Linked DNA regions of Drosophila melanogaster. The protein of the gene in region 2 interacts with the protein of the main gene of each other region in a pairwise test. Each region holds a gene or a part of one and is shown on either strand. Other genes may lie near its edges.

What was found.
Region 1: the proteins of Fur2 (region 2) and Zdhhc8 interact in a two-hybrid assay, tested with the Drosophila melanogaster proteins (one large-scale study listed by BioGRID).
Region 3: the proteins of Fur2 (region 2) and Bre1 interact in a two-hybrid assay, tested with the Drosophila melanogaster proteins (one large-scale study listed by BioGRID).
Region 4: the proteins of Fur2 (region 2) and Rgl interact in a two-hybrid assay, tested with the Drosophila melanogaster proteins (one large-scale study listed by BioGRID).

Annotation. Positions count from the first base shown.
Region 1 is NC_004354.4:9,353,226-9,358,183, reverse strand, and holds the start of Zdhhc8 (zinc finger DHHC-type containing 8), read left to right. Parts: upstream 1-1,956; 5' UTR 1,957-2,069; exon of another isoform or gene 2,070-2,197; intron 2,198-3,005; 5' UTR 3,006-3,630; coding exon 3,631-3,722; intron 3,723-4,958. Other genes in the region: BCL7-like, read right to left, coding at 503-621, 919-1,264. UniProt on the Drosophila melanogaster protein: Palmitoyltransferase that catalyzes the addition of palmitate onto various protein substrates and therefore functions in several unrelated biological processes. Regulates tissue growth possibly by regulating Ras64B protein stability.
Region 2 is NC_004354.4:16,371,384-16,376,135, forward strand, and holds the start of Fur2 (furin 2), read left to right. Parts: upstream 1-1,702; 5' UTR 1,703-1,804; intron 1,805-1,838; exon of another isoform or gene 1,839-2,040; intron 2,041-2,246; exon of another isoform or gene 2,247-2,451; intron 2,452-3,157; exon of another isoform or gene 3,158-3,377; intron 3,378-3,542; 5' UTR 3,543-3,672; coding exon 3,673-4,476; intron 4,477-4,541; coding exon 4,542-4,646; intron 4,647-4,708; coding exon 4,709-4,752. Other genes in the region: nonA (no on or off transient A), read left to right, coding at 1-164. UniProt on the Drosophila melanogaster protein: Furin is likely to represent the ubiquitous endoprotease activity within constitutive secretory pathways and capable of cleavage at the RX(K/R)R consensus motif.
Region 3 is NT_037436.4:5,789,281-5,795,867, forward strand, and holds Bre1 (Bre1), read right to left. Parts: upstream 4,913-6,587; 5' UTR 4,776-4,912; intron 4,573-4,775; 5' UTR 4,566-4,572; coding exon 3,420-4,565; intron 3,306-3,419; coding exon 2,416-3,305; intron 2,364-2,415; coding exon 1,265-2,363; 3' UTR 551-1,264; downstream 1-550. Other genes in the region: Tektin-C (tektin C), read right to left, coding at 5,284-5,863, 6,269-6,587. UniProt on the Drosophila melanogaster protein: E3 ubiquitin-protein ligase that mediates monoubiquitination of 'Lys-117' of histone H2B. H2B 'Lys-117' ubiquitination gives a specific tag for epigenetic transcriptional activation and is also prerequisite for histone H3 'Lys-4' and 'Lys-79' methylation.
Region 4 is NT_037436.4:13,916,949-13,921,816, forward strand, and holds the start of Rgl (Ral guanine nucleotide dissociation stimulator-like), read right to left. Parts: upstream 3,018-4,868; 5' UTR 2,246-3,017; coding exon 2,243-2,245; intron 1-2,242.

The DNA.
Region 1 (4,958 bases), 7.0 Mb from region 2:
GAACGAGTACATCAATTGTTTTCAAGCCAGTTTTATAGTGAACAAAAAAAAGTAGCCTTTATGTTAGTACGCTAAGTTATAAACTAGTTGTTGTCAAAACGTCTAGAAATCGAAAGTCAAAAAACTTTACACGGTTTACAACATTCAGACTGGCTGTTTTGTATCTTAAGCAGCTATTACAAAATTACATATCCATTCTACGTTCGTACTCAAATCGATTCGCATGTCTTTCTAATAAATAAGTTGTCACATTTGATCTTAATGCTATGGACCTATGACCTATCGACCATCAGCTACCCCCGCTTTGATGACAAATAAATGAGGCTTATGGCGGGACAGTCTGACAGCCGTAAAGAAACTGCTAGTGTAAGGGAAGTGCTTAAGTCTTGGGCTGAGGCAGATACTCTCTCGTCGTCCGGTGCTGTCGGTGCTAACCTAACTTAACTAGGGCTCTTAGTTAGTTGCTGCTGCTGCTGTAGACGCTGTGCCTGCGAATGTTTGGCTAGTCGCTCGTCTTCAATCGCTTCACGGGTCCATCGCTGCCCTGCGAGTTCGAGTCCTCAGAGAAGGGCATACTCGACACGAAGTCGGCGCCCTGGCTGTCGGACACGACGGAGAAACCTGTGTACAGATAGAGATCGCATGAATAAGACAGAGTAAACATGTGCTTTGGAGTGATAAATTGTGCTGAATAGGAAATACGCTTTGAAGCCAAAAACCAAATGTAAACAATATCGCTAATGCAAAGACAGCAATTTTTATAGCAGCTCCGCAAGCTTATGAGACTAATGGCACCTCGTAAAGGTCCTAAAATCCATATACTGCATCCTGTTTTTTTGTTTTGGCTCCTAACGCAGTGCTTGCAGACATAGAACCCAACTACTTATTTAAAGAGAACCAGCACATAGCCATCCTTACAGGTGTTAGAGTCCTCGGCGGTTAGTCCCTGGTAGCTGGGCGTGATCTGCGGCGGCGTGGGCGTGCCCTTCTGAGAGTTCTCCTTATCGCTCTTGCTGCCGCCGACCGGCGTAACGCCCGAGCCGGGGGGCGGTCTCCGGACAGCAGCCGATCCCGGCGAGGACTCCAGCTTGGCCTTCTTCTCACTGGCGGAGGCGATGGGCACCCATTTGTAGATTTTCATGGTGGTGTCGCTGATGGTCACCCACTTCTTCTCCCAGTGGCGCACCTTGTCCACCGCCTGCATCACCCGCTTGATGTCATCCTTCGCCCGGCTGCGCGTCTCCGCCCGCACGCTGCGCGACATGTCTGTGGGTCGATGGCGCCTGGTCTGGCTCTTCCTGCTTTAATCGCTTTTCCTCCTTAGCCAAAGTCGGCGTCACACGAAAAGCCGCTAAGTGTTTTCGCTACTTCTGGCTGCTTCACAACTGAACTCTCCCCGTCTGGCTTTTAAGTGGGATCGTGTCTCGTGATTTTGGCTGGTCTCGACCAGTTAACCAGTGGATAGTTCAGTTTTTTTGGCAATTCGCAAAAATATTTTTTAATACAACAAAAATAAGTAATCGATAGCAAGCGTGATTTTCAACTGATGTTATCGAATGATTGCCCGTTGTTTTCACGGGCTGCAGTGTGACCATTGGCTAAAGGTCCGTGCTAAAGTGTGATAGCTTATTAATTCGTGTATGATTTGTAACTCAAGTGCTTAATTTTTGAGCTGAGCTAAATTATTAGCCGTTTGTTTTTGAACAGCTACAACCGTTAAATTTTTAAATAATAATTTTGAACTGTTAGTCCAACGGTTTCTATTATCTGGCAACGCCAATGTTGCCAAATGGTATAATCTAGTATATTTTCGTGTACCATCGTGAGAGTGATGGGCGAAATATCGATGCGCGATGAGTATCGATTTGTCGATTCTTTATCATCGACAACATATCGATATCACAATGCTACGATGTCACTTCGATGGCTCGATGGTTTTTCGATGTTTTTCCACCGACCGACGAAATTATGCGTACGCTCCGCTTATTTTTTATTTATTTTTTCGTAATGCGAACCGAACGTTCGCCGCCCATTAGAATGGAATGAAAAGTCGCACAAAGCCGGGAAAAGTGAAGTTATTTACGCGAATTGAAACTCGCAGTGCGTGCGAGCGAGAGCGATAATTAAGATGAAAATGCAGGCGACGCCGAAATAAAAAACAAAAAAAACGTTGCAGCAACAACGTGCGTGTGCGAATGTATGTGTGTGCGTGCGTGAATGTGTGTGTCTGCTGGTATATGTGAAGAGCCAGGCGAACGAGCAAGAGGGTGATAGGAGGACGAGGAAGAGAAGAAGAAGAAGCAGCGGTGGAAAAGAGAACGAAGAAAAGTGGGGAAAGACGAAAAAGGCAAAACGACAAACGCACACGAAATTGAAAATAGTTGTACGAAAATCAGGAGAAAGCCAGCGATCTTATTTTTTTCTTAAATTTTCCCCCTGGATAATTGATATTAGAAATGTGTGCGTAAGCTAACACCGATACTAACACCAATGCAAACGCAAGGCTAGAATCGCTCCTCGCCCGAAAGAGAAAAAGAGAGAGAGAGAGAAACGCAAACAAATTGGAATAAATTATAGAAATTTAAAATAAAGTAAACAACTCAAATGGCAGGAATTTAAACAAAAGTAAACAAGGGGAACGAGCGATATAAATTAGTTCAACATTTCGGAATTTAAGTTAGAGGAATCTATGTTAGTGTGATATTTTATTTCATTCTATGTTGTCATTTGATAAGTTAAACATTTTACTTAAATGTGCAGCAATATGCTAATTAGCACTAAACATTTTATTTTATTCAATCATAAGTATTCATTTTTTTAAGTGAGATTCTTGGGACTCAGCAGTAAATATAATACGAATTGATAGCGAATGTATGAAATGCGAGTGTAATGTGTCATTTGAAATTGTGATTTTTTTTTCAAGTGAAAGTTAAGTGAAATATTTTTCTTGAGTGTACCTAATCAGTTTCATTTATAAATTTATTTCTGCAATTTCCCCAAAACAGCAGCCGCTTCAAAAGCCAGAACTTTGAAAAGTCGAAGCTGAATTTTCCCCGAGTTTTCCCGATTTTCCGTTTCCCGCGAATCTGAAAGCCGCGCTGCCGGCGTCGCTGTCTCTGCCGCCGTCGACGTCGTCGATCCCGTTTCACGCGTCGCCGCTTCGTCTCGCCGTCTCGCTTGTTTCCCGCCCCCTCTCTCTCTGCCCCTCGCCCGACCCCGCCACCCGACCCTCCTACCAAAAGTACCCCCCCCCCCCAACCAAAAAAAAAAATAAAATCATCCTTAAACAAAATATAAAAGATACGAAATAAAACAACAAACACACAGAGAGAGAGAGCGAGTGAGATAGATAGATTGAGAGAAAGCCAAGTCAAGAAACGTCATCAAGCGGCAGCAGCAACAACAACAACAGCAGCAAGCACAACAACTGCAACTGCAACCAAAACGGCAACCTCATCAGCGACAGCAGCAACAAAAACAAAACGCATTTCATTGCCAAGAAGAAAAAAACGGTCAACGACACTGCAACAACATTGGCCAACAGCAACAACAACAAATCAGCAATACTGAGAGACTGCACTAGCAACAACAACAACTGAAACAACAACCAACAAATAGGAAAATAGGAAAATGCCCAAATGCGATGTGAAAACGCGCTACATTCCTGCGACTTTCGCCTGGATTGTGCTGCTTCTGACCACATTTCTCTTCTTCTTCTATCCGTAAGTAGCCATTTTAATGATAAAATAATTATAAGTTAATATAACATTCAACAGTTTAGTTCAGAAACCTTAAAAAAATGACCAAATACCTTTGAGTTTCTTTCGACTGAATTTCATTTCCATTGTCACAAAAGTAGTGCAATCTGCGAGTGGGTGCTATATATCACTAAATATATATGGTTAGTTTGCGGTGGCTTCGCGAGAAGTTCATGAATATTGAATGTGCCTTAGGCGGTATTCACTGTTGCCACACACGCGTACTTTCCTCTCTCTAGACCCCCCCCCCCCCCCCCACCCTCGTGGAGCGGCGTAATCAAAGACGACCCTTCGGCCTTCGTCTGCCAGCCAAAACCATAGAAAACCAGCCCAGCCACCCACTCAGCTTTCCACCCACCACCCACCATTGGCCCCACCCACATTATTTTCTTAGTAGCTTGCAGTTTTGTTGCTGGCACTTTATTTATTTTGCTCGCATTTTCGTGGATTATAACGACGAGCCGTAATGCATTATTATATGTGGGACAGCAGCTTTGTTGTTATCCAGTCTGGCCCCATTTACCACACCGCCCCCCCCCCCCCTAATTTTCCTTGTCTTAGTCATCTCTCAGTGGCCATTTTACTGCCCCACCGCCGGCATCTCCACCTCACACCGCCCCCGCCCCCCCACACTTGGCACTCAATTTGCAGTTTGCTCTGTGCGGTTTTTTCGCTCCTTTTTGCATTTTGCTGGTTTTTTTTTTTGCGCAAATTGTTTTCGTGTATTTTGGTCGTAAAAAGAATTTCAGTTTTCAAAATGCCGGGGGAAAAATGGATGAAAAAAAAATATGATGATGATGCACGTGGCTCGAGGGTCTGGCAGATTTTCCGTCTATGCCAGGAATACATATGTCACGGTAATTAGATGAAAAACTAGCATATGTTCAATATTTCATATTTCAAAAATATATTTCATGGAGCTAATGCAGCTTTTCCAAAAAACAAAAAAAACATGATAAGATTTGCTGTTTTCGTAATTAATTTGCGGTTTTATCTGAGCACATTATATTACTGCATTATTTATATAATAACATTATTATTAAAATCGTGAAACCTCCGCATGGTATAAACATTTTTTGCTTGTTTTTTTTTTTTTTTTTTTTTGAGACAACTAGAAGGCCAAGGGAGCAACAAATTTGCATAGCATGTGCACAATTAGCACATGAAACGAAACCAAAATAGCAATTAAGCAGTCTGTTT
Region 2 (4,752 bases):
ATATAATTTTAGTGGCATTCGTATTGGAAGAGTTCTCATCTCACGTGTTTTATACGAAAATTGTACAGAAATGTGAAAGCTTTAAGAAACGCACACAGCTTAATGCTCGATCAAATATTATTAAAAAATGCATAAGCAACTTAAATTGGTTAATTGTTTTATGATTAATTCGGGGATATGGAACTGCAATGAGCTGAAATGAAAAGCTTTGAAGATTTAAAAAGTATTAAAACATATAAGCATAAAACCCTTTCAAATAAAAAAGGTTGTATCCAAATGTTCTAAACAAAGTTCTTTTGATCGTAATAATCATTCTAATAGCTTCGTTTTATCGCATTATTTTAGTAAATTTATTTGATCTAACTCGTATCTTATTTAACGGTATCATTCAACAGCTGTTTACCTATGCTACCACCAATCTGGCAACACTGCAAAACCGATCTGAAAACATATTTTTACGCAAGTCAAACTGGCACTTGAATCTATAAATAGCAATCAAAAAGAAAGCTAATAATTTAATATAGGTGAAAAACAGGCAATTTATTTTTATTTATTTTTATTTATTGTTATTTATTGTTACGCAAGTCTAACTGGCATTAAAATCTATAAATAGCAATCGAATAGAAAGCTAATAATTTAATATAGCTGAAAAACAGGAAATTTATTTTTATTTATTTTGGAAACATTCATTTTTTCTATTTCTTTTATGCCGAAACCCGCTCGATTTGATACGTTTTTTCGTATTTCCGGCAACATAAAATAAGTCAGCGATAAGCGAAATTGAAATAAATAATTTAATTTTTATATTACTTCCAAGGCCTTTTTTATTACAGTGCACTTCCAATTTGCGTCTGCTTAAGGTTTGTGTATTACTTCCCATTGGAAACAACCATAACCTGTCCTAACCGCTAATAATTGTTTAATGGTGAAGCAGATATTAAAAAGTAGCGCGTTGCCTTCGCATCTGTTTGTATTTGCGAGCGTGTTTGTGTAGCGATACCGGGGCTCAAGATGCATATGTATGTACATACATTTGGGATTTGCCAAAATCTTTGGCTTAAATACATACATACAAGCAACCAAACATTTATGGGGGATTTTGTGCGACTGGATTCATTTGTTTTTCGGGTCACAAAAAAGCGGAAAATGGAAACGCTAATCTCGGCTAACCAATAACAACGAAAACCTTGCGCTACCGCTAAATGTTATCTCTTGTTTGAATGTCAGCGCTTAGAGAGCGTCTTCGCACGTATGTATGTACGGTACAAACATACGTATGGATGGATGGATGGACAAGCTTCCAGCGGTTTGTGTGTATGTATGTACTTGGCTTGCACGAAAGTTTCAGTTTCCTATCGAAACACGTCTTAAATGTGTATTTATCATCGGCTGTGGTACGAAATGCACGTCGGTGTATGCGTGCGTACGTAATAGTTGATATTTCTCTTTTTTTTTATTGTTACAGCACGGTTGCGTGTTATGTTTTGCATTTTGTTTTGAAAGCTCCGAAAGCTGTGCTTTATGTAAAAACATACGTACACTTGCCAATGTACGAATGTTTGATTGCACGATTGTATGTACGTACGTTTGTATGTTCGTTTGTACGTTAATACTTGGCGTGTGTTTGTGTATGCGGTTAGCACAAATCCAGCGAGAAAGAAACAACCAACGTTGGCTATATGTATTAACTTCAAAATAAAGTTCAGTTTAAGCTGGAGCGCAGTCGAGGTTGCGTCGCTTGTTCGTTCGGTCGGCTTTTTGGTCTTTCGGCTTTCGGCTAGTTCCTATATTGTATGTACGCATGGTAAGCATGCGTTCTCTTTCGCTTTTCAAGTCTCAGTTTCAGTTTTCAGTCTGTTCGATTGCGTTTGCATAGCATTGCATTGATTTAACAATAGCTAAATAAAGCTTAAAGAGTGTATCTGTGATTTATTTCTAAATGTGACCGCTTTGAGCCAATTTGTGCATAAATATGTATGTACATATAATGCTTTGGATTACATGAATCGCTATTGCCATTTCTGATGCACAATGATGTATGTATGTACGCAAAGAGCATACGAATGCATGGCTTGCATTACGTGATTTCATACATCTGTGGGTGTATGTATGTATGCACCATCGAAATGGCAACTCTTACGCATAAAAATTGCAAATGTGTATAAAGCCCCACGGACCCACACAGCCACATAAACATTATCGGACGCAAATGTATACATACAAAAAAAAGTTGGCTTGGTGGCTTAATTGTTGTTGTTGTTTTTTTGTTGATAGTGTGCACACAGTGCGAAATTAGTGTGATTAAATGTGGAGATGTGTGATTTAATAAGCATGTGGGAAATACAGCGAGAGTGATTGAGATGGAAAATGGGAGATGTACAAGCTGAACTTGCCCAGAAACATGTATACACACGTACATATGCATACGTTTGTAGGATTATGCTCGGCAAAGTGAAGTATTTCCTTACAAGCAAACACAGCCATATATGTATGTTTCTTTTTTTAAACGAATGGCACAGTAAAACAGAGACCGGAATAGATGTTGTCTGTACATATGATACTGTTGATATGATACCATAGCCATAATTTAATAGCCTTTTCATGTAGCATATGCGTCTAGCTATGCAATATCGGGCATGCATAACTGCATATCCTATGTACATATGTATATCGAAATATGGGATAAACATATCACTTGACTAACACATATGCATACATGCATACATACATACACATGTACTCATTAAAATTTAAAGATGCGTGCACAAATTTAAACATTGATAATATAAATTTATATGCAGCGCCGTGTGCATACATACATACATATATTATTTTCTAATTGGAAACGCGTTGGCAATGCCTAATTGGTTTGATTATAAAATTAAATTTCTTCATTTGGTCGCAGGTTTACGGTAACTCTCTGATTTTTAATAGGGTTTTCATATAAACAAGCGGGGTTCGATGAAGTGATATCCCCGGTTTCCCGTTATTTGTTTATACCTTTTTTTTTTTGCTTTCAATTGCTACTGAGTTCAGTATAATGCTATTTCAATAAATAATAATGTTAATTCAATTTAAAAGCTCGGGTTCCGTAGTGGTGAATATGTTAATTAGAAACATGATTAGAATGGGCTAATGCATAATTCCCCTATTGCAGACCCACTGCATCTTACACTTCGGGGGACTTTCTGACCGAAAACAATAGAATCAAATGACATGTGGATACACATGTGCATAGATACGTACATATGTATGTACAGAGATATGTACATATATGGCTTACTCATTGTTAACACTTACCTGTAGTTCCCCCCAGGTGATTCTGTTGTGTCATCCGACGAACAATGGATCATCGCAAATAGGCACTTCATTAATAAGTAAGCACAAACCGTTTCGGCCATAAATATCTGTGATATATGAATCATTTTGGCATCTCTGGTTATAAAAAGCCCACGTTTAACCGGTCCAAGGTTTTTATTTGGGTCTCTCGCACAACACAAATTCAATCTACAATTGAAGTGCTTTTTCGTGTTCTCTTGCAGATACTAGATCGTGAGATACGAGATCAAAAAAATAGATTCATGAGTACGACAACAGGAAAGGGAAACGTCGCAAAAGGACTCTTCGGGAGAATCAAACTACCTTAATACCATTAGCTAAACTTAGTTAAATATGTCAAATACGACGAGGTCCAGCCGAGTTACCATCGGTAGAATTGGAACCACGCCACAGATCACAGATCCATGGTCGTCCGGCTTGGAGAAGCAGCGACCTTCCCGCTGTGGAGGCCCCAAATCTCTCGCAGAGCCAACGTACCGAAAGATCGGACGGCGAAAGATGATGCTCCATATGCGAGTCCATGACCCTGGAACGACTGTAACACAAAGAGCAAAAGAAACGGCAACGGCAAAACTCAATAGAATCTATTTATGTACATTTAACCGAATGGCACAGAGCTGTATATATTTTGTATTATTTTTAGTAATCCTAAGCCCAAATACTAGTTGTGCTCTACGGAGTAGTGCGGGTGAGACTCAGAATTATGTCGGAATACTCAGCAACGATAGTGCAACGACCACATATGATGTGTCGTCCCTGCACAGCAGTAGAAGAACAAATCCCCCATCATCATCATCATCATCATCATCGAATGTTGATGTTGATTATCGTAATGACAGAGAGCTCCACAAGGTCGACCTGGTTGGCCTGGGAGGTGAAAGAGCGGGTCAAGCTGAGACCATTAGCGGCGGCAAATACGATTATAACTATGAAAATACTCACACAAATGCCAGTGCGAAAGATGAAATTGTTGAACGGCAGTCAAATAGCCTCGACTTCGACGGGGTCGATATGTTTGGCGCCTTCAGCATTCCGGAAGAGGCGATATACACAAATGAGTTCGCCGTCAACATTCCAGCTGGCAAGCAAATGGCAGATGTTATAGCTACCAAACATGGATTTATCAATAGAGGACAGGTGAGAATGTTTGTCCAACGCTGCAATGGAATTGGTGCTCATACAATTTACTTAATTTTTCATAGATTGGATCGCTGGACAACTACTATCTGTTTCAGCATCACCATGTATCGAAGCGTTCGCTGCGCTCTAGTCGCAAACATCAGGGCGCCCTTAAATCAGAGAACGAGGTGTGTACTCTCTAAAAAAGTATCCAGTTGGAGCAGAGATTTCAATCATGATTGCCTTGCAGGTGAAATGGATGCAGCAACAGCACGAGAAGGTGCGCCGAAAGAG
Region 3 (6,587 bases), on a different chromosome or scaffold from region 2:
GCTGTTAATTATAATTGCACAAGACAATGTCGTTGCTCTTGAGCCATTGTAATAAATACTAGGTAGCATAATTACTGGGGAATGGCCTGGCCAACTGGGCTGTTCTGGCCAATTGGAACCTAACACGGCTAACTTAAACTAGATTTGCCTGCAAAAGTGTGATGCAAATTAAAATTAAGACAATTGCTCAAAAGACTTTGGTCCAGTTGGACGCAATTAAATATTTATAAATAGAAAATATGCAATGATAATTACCAATTTATACCAGTTGAGTTAAATTAACCATTCGTTTTATGTTCTTGTGCCATAAAATAGAAATTTAGAATATGATCAAACTGTTTATACATAAAATTATAGTTATGGCCACTTTCCTACTTTCTGTAGAGAACAAAATACCAGCATAGCGTTTTAAACCCCGATAACCTGTTGCGCGCCAATGGTTACAGGTTTCAGATAAGCATCGATGTTATTAACATGAGTGCGTGGGTGCTAACAGCTCTAACAGGTGGATTTCATGTAGAGAGATAACATTGATTGAAAGTCACGATTTCTGATCATTAGTTTCTTTATTCGTTAAACAGTACACATAAAGAACGAACACATTTACACACAAACAAAAAAGCAATCAAAACTCGTTTTGTTCAGCTGAACAACAATTTTCGATCATACATTATTACAATTACTTATCAATTATAACCAAGTTAGCAGCCCTTCAAAGCAAAGCGCGACTTTTAAACGGATTCTCCGCCAAGTTTATACATTTGATATCTATGCTACGTTTGATCATTACAATAGGAGTATTTAACTTAAGATTAGAATACGCTTAATATAATGCTAACTGAATGCAAGACAAAGAACCTACACTTATGTATATATGGGGTATCTAAATAACTCGGGGCATGCTAAACAATAGGTTTTAGCCATTTATTAGTGTTCGTACATTTAGTTTTCAAATGAAATCATTTAAAAATAGTTTGATTTACAAAAACTAGAAGCTACATAAAAACCGCGTCACGATCTCGCGGCACTCATAATGAGATGCTTTTGCTTGGCGCCAGAATGAACGAATTCAAATAATTGCCATGGGAAATCTGGTGGGGGAAAGTTATTCGGAGACTACTTAACCAAATATTAGTACGTAGGTAATATATGCATAATGAATAATAATCCGGCATGAATGCTGGGTGTGCGGTAGTGGTGTGTGGCGTGGGTGGATTTGTGTATGAATAGGACATGACCGGAACGTATCTAAATTATCGCTTATCTACTGCAGATATAGCCTATGATAATCGTTGGCGCCGAAGGCGCAGTTGCATTTGGGACACTTCCGCTGCCGCGTTTCATATCTAGTGCGCAGGCAGTCGTAGCAGAAGACGTGGAAACACTTTGACAGGACAGCATCCTTCCGCTTCACCTTGCACGAGGGACACGTGAGCGTTTCTTTGTATTCGCGGATCTCCTCAATCATCACCTCGTCGATGGTGGTGCCCGACATTTCCATCTTCTTCATGCGCTCCGCCTTGCGTTTAAACTGCGCCAGCTCCTCCTGCAGCCGCTTGGTCTTGTAGGCCTCCGCCTCCAGCGAACTGGTCTTCTCCGCCACCACTTGCTGCGCCTCCTTCATTTGCGCGTGATACTTTTCCAGATGCAGCTTGAGGTCCGCTGCCGATTGCGCCGATTCAATCGCCTTGCGTTTGTGCATCTCCATTGCTTGCTGCCGCAGCATCAACTCTTTCTCAATCGACGCGACGGTGGCCTGCAGGCTGCGTTCCTTCTCCTCCAGCTTTCGCAGCACAATGTGCATGGCTTCGATTTGCGTGGTCGCCGTTGCCATCTGATCCTCCAGCACCGTCTTTTCCTCTCTCAGAAGTTTGTGCAGCTGGTTGGCCTTGATGCGCTCCGACATTAGCTTAAAGTTCGCATCGTCCTTCTCACGCAGCTGTTGTATGAGCCGGGAGTTCTGCTCCTGCATGTCCTCGAACGCCTGGCCGGTAACCTCCATCTCGTTCAGCAGTGCCTCCTCTTCGTGGGAACCAACAAACGGTCGCGTGTAGTTCGCTGTGCCGGGGGCTCCACTGCCCCAAGAATTATCCGTTGGCTTGTGGTTGGCCATCTGTTTTTGCAGCTCGTACTTCTGCTCCTCCAATTGCTTAATCTTACGTAACGCCTCCTCGTCGGCCAGCTTCTTGCGTTCCTCGCGCTTGCTTTCCTGCAGCTTCTTCAGCTGCTGGCGGAGCTCCTCGATCTCGGAGCGCAGTTTCTTTTCGGTGGCCATCAACTGGACCTTGTCGCGCTGATCCTTCGATACGCCTTTGTACATATCCAGCAGGAGTTTCATTTCTTTCTGGTCGTTCAGTGCTTTTCTGTAAATCAAACAATGTTAAATAGATAATCGTAATTGCTGAACAAACTTACTTTAGTTGCGCCTTCAGATCGCGCACCGTTTCACTTTCCACTGCCTTCACATCCTTGCCCTTGACACCATCCTTGGAATCCTTTTCGTTTTTGACGGGAACAGAATTGGTCGCAGAACTTGTTGAGTTTCCGGGTCCAGGGGAATCCTTCTTCTCAGCTGCCGCCGCGTCTCCAGAACTGAGCTTCTCCTGCTTGATGCCGTCTTTTACGTCCTTACCACTGGCCTCGTCATCAGCTTCATCTTCAGCCGAGATATGGTTCTCCTCCTTGATGGCTACGTTGGTATCGTTGCCGGAATTTGTTTGGTTTGTTTGTCCACTGGCGGAAACGTTGTTGGAGTTCTCCTCCTTCACACCTGTTGAGTTCTCCTGCTTGATTTCTTCGCCAGCCGCACCAGTCGCCGCCTGCAACTTGTTGCCTTCGAGTGTAGCTAGTGCATCGGCCAGCTCCTGACGCAGCTTCAAGTTGTCCGTGGACGTGTCCTTGTACTTTCGCTTGTAGCGCTGCACCTCACCCTTCAGTTGGCCATTGTGGTTTTGTAGAGAGGTGATCAGGTGGCGCATCTCGCGATTGATGGGTGCCGTCTGCTCGTTGGCTGCCATGTTCTGCTCGAACTCAATGCGTAGCGTTTCGTACTCCTTTCGGATGAGGGCTAAAACGTCCTCCATCTGGATCATCTCGCTGCGCACCTTCTTCTGGGCAATAAGTTCCTCGCTCTCCATCACTTCGATTTGTCGCAGATGCTGGTTCTTGCTCGTTTGAAGCTGGTTTCGGGTCTCGTCCAGCATGGTCTTTATCTGCATGGACTCGTTGTAGAGCACGGAAAACTGGCTCTGCAGGCACTTGTACTCCGTGGTTTCCACAATTACCGATTCCGGCAACTGTCGTATCTGGAATGGATTTTAAGGATGAATCAGTATAATACAAAGAAAATATAAACGAAATGACTAACTATAATTAGCAATGCTCCAGATAAGCTAATACATTATTCATTCAAAACTTACATCCATTTTAAGCTTCTCCACCTCCTTCAGGGTTTCGCGATGCGTGGCGTGAAGCTTATCCAGCTCCTGCAGTCGGTTGTTGGCCAGTTCGCGGTACTCCTCCAGCTCCTTTTGCAGCTCCTCCAATAGCTGGCTATTAACGCTGGTGGTGGCGCCGCCGCTGCCTGTGGTAGTTGGTGTCTTGGCACTATTAGTGCTCTTATTGGGATCACCGTAAATCTGGTGGTAGGCCTTCAGCTTTTCAATAGCCTCGGCCAAGTGGTTCTCCAGCTTATCATTCCGGCAATGGATCTTCTCTAGGTCATATTGCAGTTCGTCTATCTGGTTCTTCAGTTCGGCGTTCTCCGTCTCCTTGGCGGTATGAGCGTCCTGGTACTCCTTCATCTTCAGCGACATGGTGTGGAACTTCTCGTGCAGCGAGGTATTCAGATTCTGCAGCTTGTGATTTTCGCTCATGATCTCGATGTGCGTTTGCTTCAGGGTTTCCTCTAGCGCATGGACACCGGCCGATGACGTTGTGGTCTCCGCATCGCCGCTGGCCTGCTGCTGCTCCTCCTCGCCGCCAGCTCCCGCTCCTGAACCGGAGCCAGCTGAAGCCAGACTATCACCTTTCAAGACATGAGTTATCTTTTCATTGCGTTGCATTAACCTATCAATAACCTGTACGATCTTGGCGACCGCCCTTTTGGACACTTGGACGCGGTTGGCCAGCTTCTCGTCCAGCTCCTCCTTGTCCCAGGTGGACAGTTGGGCGAGAAACGAGGTGGTCACCTCGTTCTCATTCCGGTTCTCCAGTTCGTCGGCCGTCTCGGCATCGAAGCGCTGCAGCAGGACTCGTATGTCCTCGTTCAGCTGATTCCAATACCGATTGACCACGTTTAGAACGGCGTCGTCCTGCGTTTGCCGCTTTTCCAGCTGCTCGATTCGATGTCGCAGCTCCGCCTCCGTTCGCATCCGCTGTTCGATGCGCTGTGCTAGCTTCTTGTTCTGGAATTCCAGCACCTTGATGTCCATCTCCTCCAGCGTGGACACCGGCCCAATCAGATGGGGCTCGAAGTGCACCTTCTTGATGGGCGGCTGGCCGGCGGCTGCGGCGGCCACCAAGCAGCTGCTGCCGGTGGCGTCGTCGGCGCTCCGTTTCGACATCCTTGCACTGCGGAAAACAAGATTAGGACTGATTTCAGTTGTAAAAACAATTGGAGTGTTGAAAATTATTGATTTGCCCATTCGTGGCTGTACTCCATTTTTTATCGTGTGCGGCGGAGGCGGTGGCGGTAGAGGCGTAACGCTCCCGCCACTGCCAACATCGCCATGCCTTCGGTGTACTCAAAATCTAGATGGTGGTGGGCCACTTACCTTAATCTCGGGTTTATACACTTTTAACTTAACATTAATTAAGGTTTTCTTTTGCTTTTCTACGTTTTGCCTGGCTTCATCAATATCGAATGCGGGCTGCGGTCACACCTGGGAATTTTCACAGCAGCACGGTAACACTATTTGCAATACTCCCTCGCATTTGCGTTCACGTTATCGATAACTATATGTCTGTGCTTAGCGGTAAATATCGAATAGAGGCAGGTAAAACTAAAAATACTAGATTCAAAGCGGGAAATTTAAATTCACGAAAATTAAGCAAAAGAAATATATGATTAACTATTTCGAATAAAATGAACAATTTAAAAATGCATTAAAAAGCCATAGTTTTGGTAACTGGAAATCGAAAGTGAATTTCAATTTATTAAGTAATTTGGGATCGAACACGAAATGCACATGCATCTAATAATTAGATTTTAATTTGATTATTGGTGGCTGGGCTGTGTGGCGACTACTGGACTGGTGCTGTACTGGATGTAGTGCTGCCCGACTAAAATGTTTGGTACTTCAGGGCCTGTCGCAGGGTCATGCAGTCGACCTCGTCGATCTTGCAGGTGTTCGCCTTGATGTTGATCTCCTCCTCCTGCATCACCTGGACGTGCATCAGGTAGCGCATGGATGCCTTGTTCTCGTTCAGCTTCTGATTGAGCTTGCATACGGATGCCTTCAGCGCCTGCAGTTCGTTGTAAAGCGCATCCTGGACCATGTCGCAGGTCAGCTCCAGGCCAGGACGATGGGCGCGATTGCTGAGCCGCGTCTGGCACAGTGTAATGGCCCGCTGCTTGTCCATCATCTCCTTCTCCAGCTCGGTCATGTTGCGCTGCACCTGATGGATGTGATCCATGGTGTCCTTGTGCTTGTTCTCCAAACACTGTTTCACGTGCTTCGTCTCCGAGATCCTTCGCTCAAAGGCCTCGTTGGTCCTGTCCGTCTGGTTCTGCATATCCTCGCACACCTGCTTCAGCAGCAAATCGATGTAGGCCCGCAGCTGCCCGGCGGACACCAGCGCCTTGGCGTTGGCCTCCAGATTCTCGTACGTCTGCGCCTGCCACTCGGTCAGCGAAAATTGGCTGGGTAAGGAAGAGAAGGGGGTAAAGGCATGGTGGAGTCATGGCAACTATCAGGTCGATTTGAGTGGTTGTAAATAAATCACTTAATTCCAATGCACTAAAATAGACTCAGGACAACTCTATCCCATATCACCAAGGAAACTGCGGTTTCATTGTTAGGTTTGACCTTCCTCAATTCCATTCCTAACTGAAAAGGGGAACAACTACTTGACTTTGTAATGGAATTTGTGGATAAGACTCTAGTAAAATGTTTATCCTTTTAAACTCCTTGTACTGATGAACACCGAAATGACTTACGCATAAAAGTGAAAGAAAAAAGATTAATAATCAATCCACTTCATCATTCCTTAAAAAGGAAACCCCAACATGTGTGATTGACATGCAACCTAGTTTTCAAAAACCTACCAATGCTGTTTGGACAAATCCTGTCCCTTAGCCAGGTCGTGCTGGAACTCCTTGAGCTTCAGGTTCTTCTCGTCGATGGCCAGTGACTTATCCTTGGCGGCCAGATCCTGATCGAGCAAATAGATGGCGGCGCGCAGCTTGCGGATCTGCTCCTCGGCTTCCTTGAGGGCGGCATCGGCCAATCCCTGACAGCCCTTGATCACCTTGAGCTCACGGCGCAGCGAGCGATCCACCTCGTCGTCGCACAAATCCACACCGATCCGACCTTCGCGTAGGATCAGGCACTGCTTGCAAATGGCCAGCGACTTGTCCTTCAGGA
Region 4 (4,868 bases), on a different chromosome or scaffold from region 2:
TGCGGCAGAAATAAAGCTCATTAAGTAATGAAATAATATAGTATTATAATGCCAGACGACGGGCAATTGTCAAACATATTCGTGTTTGTGTATACAAGGCACCCAATTATAAAGAAATAACATCCAAGTATGAGGGGGCGCCTGATTGGTCGGCCCACATCATCATCTGTCTATATATAAAGCAGGTGACCTTTCCTCCAGAAAAGCGTGTGGGTGGCGTTTTCTGCTTTTCCGCCCAGGGGGGGTTTCTCTCAATTACAGATCTTCGCAAAAATAGCCAGAAACCAAAACAAAGGAGAGTCGAACCGCAACATCAAAGCGAAATGGTACTGCATTTGCATTTGGGGTGAATTTATCAACAAACAGCCATACAGCTGAGGTCACAATATTGATAGATTAAAAGTGAAAATACATCTAAGGAAATGGATCAATATTTAAATGATGAAACATGACTCTGAGATAGTAAAATAGTATTCCGTTTGAGATATTCGATTTATAGGTAAAAGTATTGCAATTTGTATCGATGTAAAAACAGTTCTTTGAGAATTTCCTAGTTCTTGGCGGCAATAGATTAGGTGTCCGAAATAAGCAATACATTTCGCTTGTCTTGAAAAATGAAAAGGCATTTATTTTGACCGCAATTGTAGACACAAATCTCTATTTTTAAATCGACGACCCCTGGCACGAGTTTTGTGAATTGCAGCAACAGAAGCAGCGGCAAAAAAAAAACAACGCAAAACAAAATTGAAAACGCCAAGGGAAAAAAACGACTGAAACTAAACACCAGTCTCTCCCCCTTCCCTCTGTCATCCCTGAATGACTGACTGACTAAATGACTGACTGGCTAAATGACTCTGACTGACTGTCAGTTACATGCGACTGCATCCGACGCAGTCAACTTGACAACATTTGCTGCTCCCTCGGTGCACATAAAAAAAAATGAAGGGAATTATGATCAAATTTAATTGCATCGGCCTACTAACACAGGTCCATCAAGATTTTACATCGTTTGTGTTTATGAGAAATAATAGAACAGGCATTACTTGGCATTCGATATTCTATCCCTAATGTCTCCTTTTCGCTATATTACAACATAACGAATATCAACCGATGCCACATCCTGTTGCAATTTTTAATTTCAAAAACCATAATTCATATCCGAATAAAACTTTTATTTAACGTGTATATGTACATATGTATCTGTCTCTACTGCAGAGCAGCTGTCCCGCTCTTTCGGCTATTATCAAACCACATCCGTTGGGCAGCAGCAGAGATGATGTGCAAACAATACAAAAACATATCAACCTAAGCTAAAGTTTGAGCCACTGAGCATAGCTCCCCACGTAAATTATTTTTTTTATGCATTCCCCCATCATTCGCCAGTGGGTAAAGGAAGTGGGGGGCGGAGCTTTTGTTTTGCATACAATGGGAGCTGATAAATGATTTCTAGGGGCACTCCGCATAAATGGATGATAAAGAAACGAAAATATAACTGGGACTGCAACTGAAATGATCTCAAACTGATTCACCTTTAAATTCATAGCTTTAATTCGTTATCTTTCACCTGCGAAACAAATTATATACATCACTTAAGAATACCCTACACCATTTGTTCCCAAGCATAAGTATACCAATTTTGAATGCTTTTTAATTAGCATATAAATTCTCGAAACTCCCAAAACAAAGCTTCTCCAAGCTTGGCAGTTCCCATATGATTCATTTATAACTTGTAAAAAATTCCCGACTTTTATCGATTCCTATTCCTTCCCCACCAAAAGAAGGTGTTTTATTTCTGGACTCCACTTAGGCGTAAAGTTTCCATACCATTGCATTTTTGCCCATAATCATTGTTGACATTTCCTTGTGAATCGACACCAAGACACTACAGTAATCCCTCTCCACACAAAACCAGATCAAGTACACAGCAACTAGTTTTCAGGGTTGAAAATTCTCGGACAAAAAAAGGTGCGCATTATCGATAATTATCCATGTCGTTGATTTAAGGGCGAGGGTCAATAGTAATAAAATTCAAGCCATTAATGTTTTTATCTTATCAGGAGTTTGTTACCGATGTATTGCTTATTGCAGAAATATGATGTACTTGTTTTAAATATATTGTTAAAAAAAAACATTTCAATGTATCAACGTTCGAGTGACCACTGTAAGGGCAGGATAAGAACCAATAGATCTAAAGTGCGCTCCTTTCTAATCCGGCCTGATGGATTGCGTTGTTTTTTTTTACCATTTGAGATTGGCTTTTGTTCCTTGAGAAATGTTGCTGAGATTTCCACGGATGCACTGCTTGGGTTTTCCTATCCGTTATCCTCTTCTCGTCGGTTCGCTTTAATTTACACGTCTCCTTTAATGGCTTCTGGTGTTTTATTTTTACACCCAAGTGCAGTTCAATGGGTGGTGGGGGTGTTGTATAAGTAAAAGGCAAGTAAAATCGATATTCCTGCTGCTCTTTTTTTGTACTGGGCTTCTGTGTTCTGGCCGCTATACCGTTGTTCAGCTTCCTGGGAACGATGAGTCAACGGGACATAGAGAAACACACCCAGTAGCAGTAGAGGTGGGGGGGTTAATATTGGTATTTGTTCTCCGGTTAGTGGTAAGTGGTGAATCCTTGGTCCGCGAAGAAGGGTTCGTTGCACTACGTCTATGCGTCTGCCTGGCAATCTCCTCTTTGCTCTCGTGCTTTAGCACGTCTTCCCTACTATTTATTTGTTTTCACTTTTATCTCTTTTCCTTTTGCTAATGCTGCACTCGCACACACGTAAACGGCAATTTTCGGGATACCGCTTGCATTTTCATTCGCTTGGCTGAAAATCTCAACATGAGATATCCATGTTATTACAAAAACATTATACAAAATTCACATTCGGGGGTTTCTCTACTTGGAAAAGGGGAGCGTAGGGGGCGCAGAGCGTAAAACGCGCGCGAGACACACACACAAAGCTCTCGGTAGAGAGACACGCGACGCAACCGCCGCCAACAACAGTCGAAGACGAACTCTGCCCGCTTAGAACAAACGACCGCCCGAAACCCCATCGTCTGTATCCAACTCTCGCTTACTCTCTCCCACACGCTCTCTCTGTCGGGGATCCACTCTCTGTCATTAAGAACGCAAGCATTTTCGGGGGATGTTCTTACTCGACGGATGTAACTGTAGCATCCCCGTTCTCTCAATTGCACTCTCTCGTTCGCTTTTCTCAGGTACTCAAGTTTTCGACCGTGGGAACTTCTAGCAAAACACCCACTATGGTTTTACACCTTGCGTGAAGGTATATTGGTTGCATCGAACAAGTTCAAAAACACAGTTAACATTAACAATGCATTCCAATATTGGTTCCGAATTTAAAACACCTACATATTCTCACAATTTATAGTCAATAAACTTAAAATAGAACTTTTTCCAGATAAACTGTCAATTTACCATTGAATTGGTAATTGATTTTATTTCTTTTGCACTATGGTAACTTGGCCTTTTAAATCAATTTAAACAAATTTCTTTAAAACTTCTTCCTAGTGACTGTTGACACGCTAAATATAAATAAATAAGTTTCTTAAAATAAATACACGGTATATATATGTCGTATCAGAACAAACATAAAAATCTTACTTGCTCTGGCCATTCGCGCTCTGTTTATGTTTTTTCTGATGAGCAATTGACTGTTGGCTTGTTTGTTTCTAATCAGAACTCTCTCTCAACTCTCTCTGTCAATTTTAGTATTTTTTGGTATATATTTACACTGACCCCCACAATAGCATTTGTCTTCATTATAGCTTCACATTTATCAATGGAATTTATGGGCCTCCTAAACCTGTAGGATTTTATTCCAAATTTTTGATTAATGCCAACAAAGAAATTTAAATAATTTTCTTCCATGTTTTGTTTGGCTTTTTAGGCTATCATTTGACCAACCGTTCAAACATGTGAACTGGAATGACATAATTATGGAAATGGGAATACCTGAGTGTTGTCTGGTATTTGGTAACGATTTAAAGAAAGCTGGCGGGGAAATCAATAAGCAGAAATATTAATAAAACGTGCATTTACGTAAGCGCCAATCAAACGATGCCTGCTGTTTTGTTTGTTGCTTGTAGACATTGGATAAATATTCGAGACCATGAGCACGTCAATTGATCAATTAGCGAATGCAACAAGTTTCAATACAAAAAAAGGCACTGATATTTGTTATGCACTTGGTGATGCTGATAACGAATTTTATATAAAGCTAGAAAAAGAGATCAATTAAAGATTGACCCTCAATGTGCTTCATGATGTTGGTGTCAAAATAATACGGTTTAAAGCTATAGTAAATTTATTTAAAATTATTGCTGTTCTCCCTATCAGAAAGTATGGAGAATAATATTTTAAAACGTAAACGTCATAATATATATTTAGATGAAAAATGTTGTGCTCCAAAACTTTAGTCATACGAAAAAACCGCTCTTGTGTTGTGATCGTGATAATAAATATCACAAAAATTATAAATTAAATTATAAATTATAAATTTCTTTAATTCGATTTTTCGGCACCACTCTAATCAAAATGTTGCAACATATTTTTCATTAACTTAGTCTACGGACTATTTGACCAAATAATTAGCAGACCTGGGCAAAAAGCCTCCACACAAAGTTCGGTGCTCTGCGAGATACTTTCAAAATGACTTTCTATGCATTTCCCTGTTACTTTCTACGCTTGCTATATACTAGAGTACATGAACAAGATAATGGTTTAGCTACTCACCAAACTGTCGGCCACATTTTGACTCATTATAGTCTGCAGCGTTGACGATGGCCAGATGCTGCAATTACTTCAAGGTGCGTGCTGCTCAAAATCTGGTGCGATGCAATTTCCGATGGTG